2 linked regions of the Xenopus tropicalis genome follow. The protein of the gene in region 1 purifies or fractionates together with the protein of each later gene. This does not show direct contact. Links are inferred from orthologs where the notes say so. Each region holds a gene or a part of one and is shown in the gene's direction. Other genes may lie near its edges. The genes, in order: gli2 and sufu.

Region 1 (4,434 bases):
AAACATTTTACAGTTCCCTATTGTTTCAGTAGAGGAGATTGGGGGGGTCTGTGTGGTTTGGGGGTAACTGATGTCTAAGGGTTAAAAGGCTGCAGTCACTTCAGGGCACCAATGTGCCCCGGGCAAAGATCTCATTGGTGGAACCCCATCAGGGGAATTGGAATATAAAGAAGGGGGGCTTATACAGTCGATGTTGGGGCTCAGTGACAGCAGTGTCTGTATTTTATTTCTGCATTTCGTTTGGGGGCTCCCACTGCCCTCAGTCACCTGTAATCCACTTCGAAAACAAGCATCTGATTGGTTGCTATGGGTTACTAGACTTGGTGCAAACCCTGAGACTTACATTGACCCAGGGGGGTATTGGAGCTTTGATGTGCTGGCAGGCAGGGGGCGCCGCTACCCGCACACATTCCGCCAGAAGACAGACCCCCCCCCACAAGCAGTGTAGGAGAAGCCCCCCCACTGGCACTCTGCAGAACACAGAGAAGGTCGGCCTGGGGGAGCAGGAGAGGAAAGTGAGGGGATTGGGGGTACCTGGGCCCTTCCCCATCTGCAGAATTAACCCATTCTCCTCAGCCCAGGATGTTACCCCCACCCAGCAAAGTCCCCTCTAATCTGCCCTCTGGGGGGGGCTATGTTGCCATAGGGGCCCAAGAGTTACATTTGGACTGTGCCCCCCTATTTCCAAAGATGAGTTTCTTACATTCATTACAAGATCCGCTCGTTAGCCGATAGGCAGATATCAGGCCGCTGACAGTGGGGGGGGGGGGGGTACAGAATGTTGGGGTGAGGGCTCCCCCAATGAGCCGACCCGTTCTGGATCCAACAGGAAAATCAAACCTGCCCAATCGACTACTGGCCAATGTTTGGGCCATTTCTCAGTTGGGTGGGCCCATTAGTGCCCCCCATACAGGGGCAGATAAAGCTGCCAGGGGGGGCCACACCTTACCCGTATCTAACCGAGCCCCCCTATCTGCCTTAATGTAACCCCTTCTGTTCCTGAGGCTGCAACAGCGGACTAACTGGGCTGCCCCCCATTTCCTACCAATACCCCATTATTTGACCCCCCCCTCCTGTTAAGGCTTTCCTATTCCACAAACAGGTAACATGCCCCCCCCCCCCCCCCCGTACAGAGCCCCCCAACAGTTTAACCCCTTCTGTCCCAACCTTTTTTCAGTTCCCATTAGTTCAAAACTTCTGTTCCCCTGGGGAGTCCCCCCCCCCTATGACTTAACCCCTTCTGTTCCACAGGGCTGAACAAGCACCGATTGCTCCCAAAGTTTAACCCCTTCCGTTCCGCATGGCTGAATACTTCCCCCCCCCCCCCCCATCTGCAGAGCCCCCGTTAATTTAACCCCTGCTGAAAAGCATTGAAGTTGCTGAAAGCCCCCCCTCTCCCCTTCCCATCTGGAGCAGCAAATGGTTTAAGTCAGAGAGGGGGGAGGATTGGGGGGGGGAGGGGGGAGGAGGAGGAGGGGGGGGGGTGAGATTGAAAACAGATCAGTCCGGGGCTGAAGCGATGGGCTCAGATCATCTGACTCCACTCAGCGGCGCAGAGACAGAGGGGACAGGGAATCCCGAACTTTCCTGCAAACTGCCCCCCGGAACCCCCTGCCCCCCGGACTCTCCCCCGACTCCGCGACCCCCAAACCCCGGAGTGTGCGCCCCCCTCACTTCCCACCATGGGTCCCCGAAAGTGACACCGACCCCCCCAAAGATGGATATAAAGTCGGAGTAAGAGCGCAGAGGACCCCGATATGGAGCACCCCCAAAACTAAACTGCCTCCATCACTTGGCACCAGTGAGTGAGAAGCCCCCACAGCCTGATTGGAACTGCCCCCCCATACCCAGAGGTAAGTGCTCTGTGAGACTTGGGGGTTCTACATGCAGAAATGGAAACGTTAGCACTGAGCCCTACCCCGGGTTATTGCCCCTCGGTGGGGCATTAGCGCTGGATCTTTCCAGGGGCGCATTCCCTTACTGGGATTGGCACTAGAAACGCGTTGACATCTGGGGACCCCCCCCCCCATATTCCCTTTCACATTTGGAGCTTGGCCTTTTACCCCAGTCTCAGACTCACGGGTAAGAGTTGCCCAGTTGCCCCAGAGAAAGTGGCACTGAGTTTGTGGGTATCGACTGCCACATGTGCCAAAGTGAAGTTTTTGTGCAGCCTGGGGGGCTGTTGTGTTTATTTTGGGGGGGTAGATCTGCTAAATAAGGAACATGTAGAATTGCTGGGGGGGGGGAAGTTGGGGCAATTACAGCCCCCCAGCTGGTACAGGGCTGTAGTAGGTTACTGTAGGTTAAACACCAGTCACAGGGCTACAGTTGCCCACTCCGGGGGTAGGGGTCGGGGGGGCGATGCCAGCTGTGCCCAGTTGGTCGTTTGCATTGGGCAGAGGGCTGGGTGTCAGCCCACAAGCTCAGACTGATTGCAGACTGCTGGGAAATTGCTTTGATAGCTGGGAAGTCACACAGGGTGAGAAGGAATGGGGGGTGGGGGGGGGCAGCTTCCTATCAGATTATTAGTTGCACACCCATTAACCCTTTGTTGGGGCTTCATAACAAATGCATTGTGGGTGTTTAGAACATGAGGGGCGTTTTGACTTGTTTGGTTTAAGTTCCCCTTTAGGGTCAAATTCTCCTCCCAGTTATATCAACCTAATATCTGGGGCCCCATAGAACTGACTGGGGGGGGGCTGTATATATATATATATTGTGCTACTTGTATACCACAAGCCCATTCATTGGCAGAGACAAGGGATATTATGAGACACGAGTCCCTGAGCCACAGAGCTGACAGTCTAAGTGGGTTTGTAACTTACAGACACAGAATCTTCTATGCCAGCCCCCCGGGGTATCACTACAGACCCCCGGGGTATCACGACAGACCCCCGGGGTATCACTACAGACCCCCGGGGTATCTCTACAGACCCCCGGGGTATCACTACAGACCCCCGGGGTATATCTACAGACCCCCGGGGTATCACTACAGACCCCCGGGGTATCTCTACAGACCCCCGGGGTATCACTACAGACCCCCGGGGTATCTCTACAGACCCCCGGGGTATCACTACAGACCCCCGGGGTATCACTACAGACCCCCGGGGTATCTCTACAGACCCCCGGGGTATATCTACAGACCCCCGGGGTATCTCCAGGCTTCATGGTGCAAGTGGGGGTCCGGTGGTTCTGTGATTCAGAGATAATCTGGGCCGTTTCCCATGAGTCTTTGGGGGTCGTCTCATTAACATGTGTCTGAGTTCAAAGGCTCCGGGGGGGGTGATAAGAAAGTGTCACTCGCACTTAGAACCGACCCTGAGATCAAAGCGACCCAACTGTGCGGGGGGGGGGGGGGGTCCGGGGTTCAACTCCCAGCGCCTTGAGTCTAAAATTCTTTACTGATGTCCAGAACCAATCATCTTGCCCCAAAAGGCTCCTCAAACTGAAGTGTTTTGCCCCCCCCCAAAAAACCCCAATGTTTTCCATTCTTCCGCCCCTCCGCACGTCTCTCCAAGTAAGGTCATAGCAATAACCCAAGCCCGCCCCCCAAAAATCTGCCCCTGATCCTTATATAAAGGTGGCCTTGCCCCCCAGACTTTGGGGGGGGTAAGTAGGGGGGAGCAGTGGTTATATGGGGGGGACCCATTTGCACCCCCATAGGTTTATATAAAGTCTGTATAATCTGCAGTGTAAAAGGGAAATTGGGATCCCCAAATCCTGGACTGGACTGGAATTGGGTCAGAAGCTTAGCATTTGCCCATAAAGTGAGTGTAAGCTCTTGTGCTCAGGGTTGGATTCAGGGGGCAGAAAATGATGGATTTGGTGCCGTCTGGTTCCGTGCGGATCAGTAAATGGGGGGGGGGGCTGAGTCACTGGGATTTCTCTGCGCTGAATCATTTCTGGGTTCTACAGACCCGCCCCAATGCATTCTGGGACCTGGGGGGTTCCACATTGTCACACAATCACCCCCAAAATATAAATGTTAAATGGAATGTGAGCAGATGTAGTGGGGTGATTCTGATGGGCCCCTGGGACAGTGGCCCCTAGTGCTGGGGTGGGTAAGAATGAGACCTGGGGGTTCCAGTTATGATGATGAGTTGTGTAGTTCAACGCGGTCCCGGGTCGGGCCAATCACACTGTGCCCCTAGGGTACCAACGTGCCAGTGGGAAGGGTTGTTCAACCTTGGGTTGAAGAGCTTACACTCTGTTCCCCCTGCATGGAAACCAGGCCTGCTTTAGAATTGGAACCAGTTACCCCTGGTTGGCGCTGGGTAAACAAATGATGCTGATGGTGGCGCCGCTGGGCACATACCCTATTGGCCTAGTGTGGGCGCCGCTGGGCACATACCCTATTGGCCTAGTGTGGGCACCGCTGGGCACATACCCTATTGGCCTAGTGTGGGCGCCGCTGGGCACATACCCTATTGGCCT
Region 2 (3,816 bases), on another chromosome or scaffold:
ATTATCTGATCGTCCCATCCACTGCTTGAATTTTTAAATCTATCCAATCGATTGTTGGAATGATGTGGTCGGAACAATTGTAAATTATATGATCTTTTTGTACGCTTTAATGTAACAATAAAATCAGTTGCTTCACGTGACAAAATCTTCCCTTGTATGGCCACCTATACACAGGCCCAGACTGCCAATCTGAGCGGCTGCTGTAAGATGCCAGTTACTGTTTATTGGGCTTGTGGGGGCTCTTTGGGCCTCTGTGTACATGAAATGCCAGGGTCAATTTTTTCATCCCAGTCCAAACCTGTTCATACAAAAAATGTAAATATGCATAGAAGGAATGTTTAGTAAGCTGAAGGCTGCCATGATTTTCTGTAAATTGTAGCACAGCAGAAGTCAAAGCAGCCTAGCAAATGCAGCTTTAGGGTGAAGACACACAGAGCTACTAGCAGCAGCTGCTTGTCACGGCTACTAAAATAGACAATGCTGATCATTTACTAATAACTGTCTTGACGTGTGTTTTAGCAGAGGCAATTCTCAGTATTGTCTATGGCAGGGTATTTTCTGTTTATTAGTAGCCGTGACAAGTTTCTGCTACTAAGTAGTTCCATGGGTGTCTTCACCCTTAAGTAGTGTGATTTCAGCCTCTAAATGTTACTGTGCATGTTTAAAATGTTTGTGTTCCGTTTTACAAGCTTTTAATTTTATTGCGACTAAAAGCTGTCATGTTAGTAACTCTTGATTTGTCTATTTTCAGGCTGGGTGGACCAGACCCCCTAGATTATGTGAGCATGTACAGGAGTCTTGGCAATCCAGCACTTGACGTCCCTGAACATTGGCATTATGTCAGCTTTGGCCTGAGTGATTTGTATGGTGACAACAGAGTCCATGAGTAAGTTCTCACAACATATAGATTATCTGCATGTATACCTTTTAAATATTGTAAGGTGGGGAGCTTTTGCAATATACCTTGCCTCATAAATTTTGTACTAAAAAGTATATTATTAGAAAATACATTTATCTGCATGTTGAGGTTTATTAATATGCATGGGAATTGCCAGTTTAATTCTACTGTTTAAATGTATCCATTGATCCTAGTATTATAGTTCCCTGCACATTTTTAAAGGCTATATAAAAATGGTTCAGTGCTTTTTTTTAGCAATAACTAACTCTCAGTGATTGCCCTGTATTTACTTAATAATTATTATTTATAATGTATTTCTAAAATACCAACATAAGCCATAGCTCTGTGCAGTAAATTAGTATATACATTTAACATACAAAAACAACCAATACAAAGGGTAAAGAAGTCCCTTCCCAAAAGAGCTTGCAATTTAAACTGACAAGCAAAACATTGTTTTCTTAATGCATAATAGGTGAACAGTACAGAAGTTCATTTATTAACTTTAGCACCCAGTGTTTTTATTTCCATGTTCTTTCATTTCCAGTCAGTATCTTAAAAGGTTATTATACAGTACAGGTGGGATAAAATGCATCTATTAGAATGAAATGCTAATGCTAGCATAGGTTATGGGATGTCTCTGTGCGTACTGTAAAGGAGACTGAATGTGCCATATCTATGCTTGTGAAATACTATTGAGGGAATACAGGGTTATGGGAGATAGCTCTTAGTACAAGTTGATCCATGGACTGGTCTGATTGCCATCTTGTAGTCGGGAAGGAATTTTTTTTCCCCCTCTGGCAAATTAGAGAGGCTTCAGGTGGATTTTTTTGCCTACCTCTCGATCAACTAGCAGTTAGGCAGGTTATATATAGGCATTATGGTTGAACTTGATAGATGTCTTTTGTTTCTACCCAACTTACTATGTTGCTAAGAATATGAGTCTCTTTCATTTTACAGTTGCTTGGCTCATTTGAGTAATTGCAGATGTTGACTTTTAATGTTATGGCGTTATGTAGCTCCATGGTTGGTGGGACAAAATGCTTAAAATAGACCATAATTCACCTTTGGAATCACCAGAAAGTTCCTGGTGTATATACACGATTATACATGACTGAAAAACACTCCACTGAAAGCAGAGTAATCCTCATTTTGTATTTGTACGGTTTTAAGAGGTTGTTTGTATGACCAATTATGATGCAGTTACTATTTTCATGTCTTTTGCTTCATTTAGAATTTAGAAGCTGCTGCTTTTTTGACCAAACTGTCACCCAGAGCCAGTAATAATGTCAGACTACTACTCATTTATTTATGTAGCACAAGCTTTACGCTAATGATTACAAGCTTTATTACTTTTAGCCTGACATTTTCCTGTATGTCACTCGGCACCCCTATCATAGATTCACCGTAATAGAAAACTTTTTACAGAAGCAGATTGGGCTACTGCAATTACAGCTTGTGGTTGAATTGGGTGGGTGAGGTTAAGGCAAGCTGTCAGGTGTGTGTATATATGTTTTTATACTACCCAGCTACTGGGCACAAGTAAAACCTTCATAGAAAAGCTGACCTATTGCCACCTACAGTATTTTTGGTACCAATAGTCCATTAGGAGTTCACATCTTAGAGGTAAAGTATTACTTATGTTGTTATCTGAATGAGCACCCTTGCTGATGGTGAATGCTTTATTGGTAGTCTGACTGCTTTCCGTGCTTCTTTTGTAGGGTTTTTTTATTATTCTGTTTTTGGTAATTAGTTGCTTAACGTCTTTTTCTCTTTTTGTCCCCTTGTCAATGGTATCAGTAGCCTTGGTGCCCAGATCCTTGTTACTAGTTGACAGCAAATGGCTTTTCCATTCAGCAGCAATATTAACAAATAATCTTGCTTTTTACAGCATTCTGTCAGATCTTCTCTAGAAGCCTTTGCATTCCTTATCCTGCTCTAGCACTTACCAAACCACAGTCTAATATGCATACATGGCAGTCTGTCTTGTTGCATTGCAGTTGGTCACTTGTGATACTGTGAATTGTGATACTAAAATCTACAGTTAGTATTGATGTTGGTATATATGGTTTATGTATGGGAGTATATAGATAGGGCAGTGTGGGTCTGTATGTGAGTGGATAGATAGGGCAGTGTGGGTCTGTATGTGAGTGGATAGATAGGGCAGTGTGGGTCTGTATGTGAGTGGATAGATAGGGCAGTGTGGGTCAAGCAACAGAAATGCAGCCATTAGTTGTAGTAAAGCCTGCAGTGCGAAACCATATTTACAGACTTGGGACGAGTCTATATTTGGATTGTAAAACTGAGTTCAGTAACATTTTTAAAAAATGTACGTGTATGTAATCCTCCCTCCGCTGCCTGCTAATTCATGTCTTGCTCCTTCAGTTTGATCTTGATAGATCTGCATCTGTTACACTGCGGGCTGCGGCTTTATTTCCAAGCTGAGAGGCAGCCTCCCTGTAGGGTTTCTTTTGTTTACACTGTTCCCTGCGAGTGCAAGTATCTGTGGGTCCATGTTGGCAGCTTTTCTAATTGTGAAATTACAGAATCAATAAAGTCTTTGTAAATGAACCATTTATCCCTGGAAAGTCTCGGAGAGGGCACTAGTCTCCTGGAACGCTTCTCCCTCTGCGCTGGAGGTAGACCTCCCTGGAAGAAATTGGTAACATATGGAAACCCTTTTTTCGCAAGTGTATTTAGTTTCAGATTGTGATTTGTTTGAGGTAGTTAGCGCTATTAAAAACACTGACGAAGGGGGGAAAAAAATTAGGCCACCAACTGAGATGGATTTACTTTGAAAGAAGCGAGCTCTCACACATGCTGGCATGTTCAAAATGTATAAAGGGCAACTAAACCCCTCATACAAATGTTACTTTGTGTGCTTTATTAGTGTGCAGGTACAGCATCTCTGTAATAATATA

Evidence for each region.
Region 2: the proteins of gli2 (region 1) and sufu purify together in Homo sapiens (affinity purification with mass spectrometry; 3 studies listed by BioGRID and IntAct, with this or other methods). This does not show direct contact. The link is inferred for Xenopus tropicalis from reciprocal best matches to the Homo sapiens genes GLI2 and SUFU.

What each region holds. Positions count from the first base shown.
Region 1 is NC_030685.2:89,201,288-89,205,721, forward strand, and holds the start of gli2 (zinc finger protein GLI2), read left to right. Parts: upstream 1-1,508; 5' UTR 1,509-1,853; intron 1,854-4,434. UniProt on the Homo sapiens protein: Functions as a transcription regulator in the hedgehog (Hh) pathway. Functions as a transcriptional activator. May also function as transcriptional repressor. Requires STK36 for full transcriptional activator activity.
Region 2 is NC_030683.2:29,292,754-29,296,569, reverse strand, and holds part of sufu (suppressor of fused homolog), read left to right. Parts: intron 1-751; coding exon 752-886; intron 887-3,816. UniProt on the Homo sapiens protein: Negative regulator in the hedgehog/smoothened signaling pathway. Down-regulates GLI1-mediated transactivation of target genes. Down-regulates GLI2-mediated transactivation of target genes. Part of a corepressor complex that acts on DNA-bound GLI1.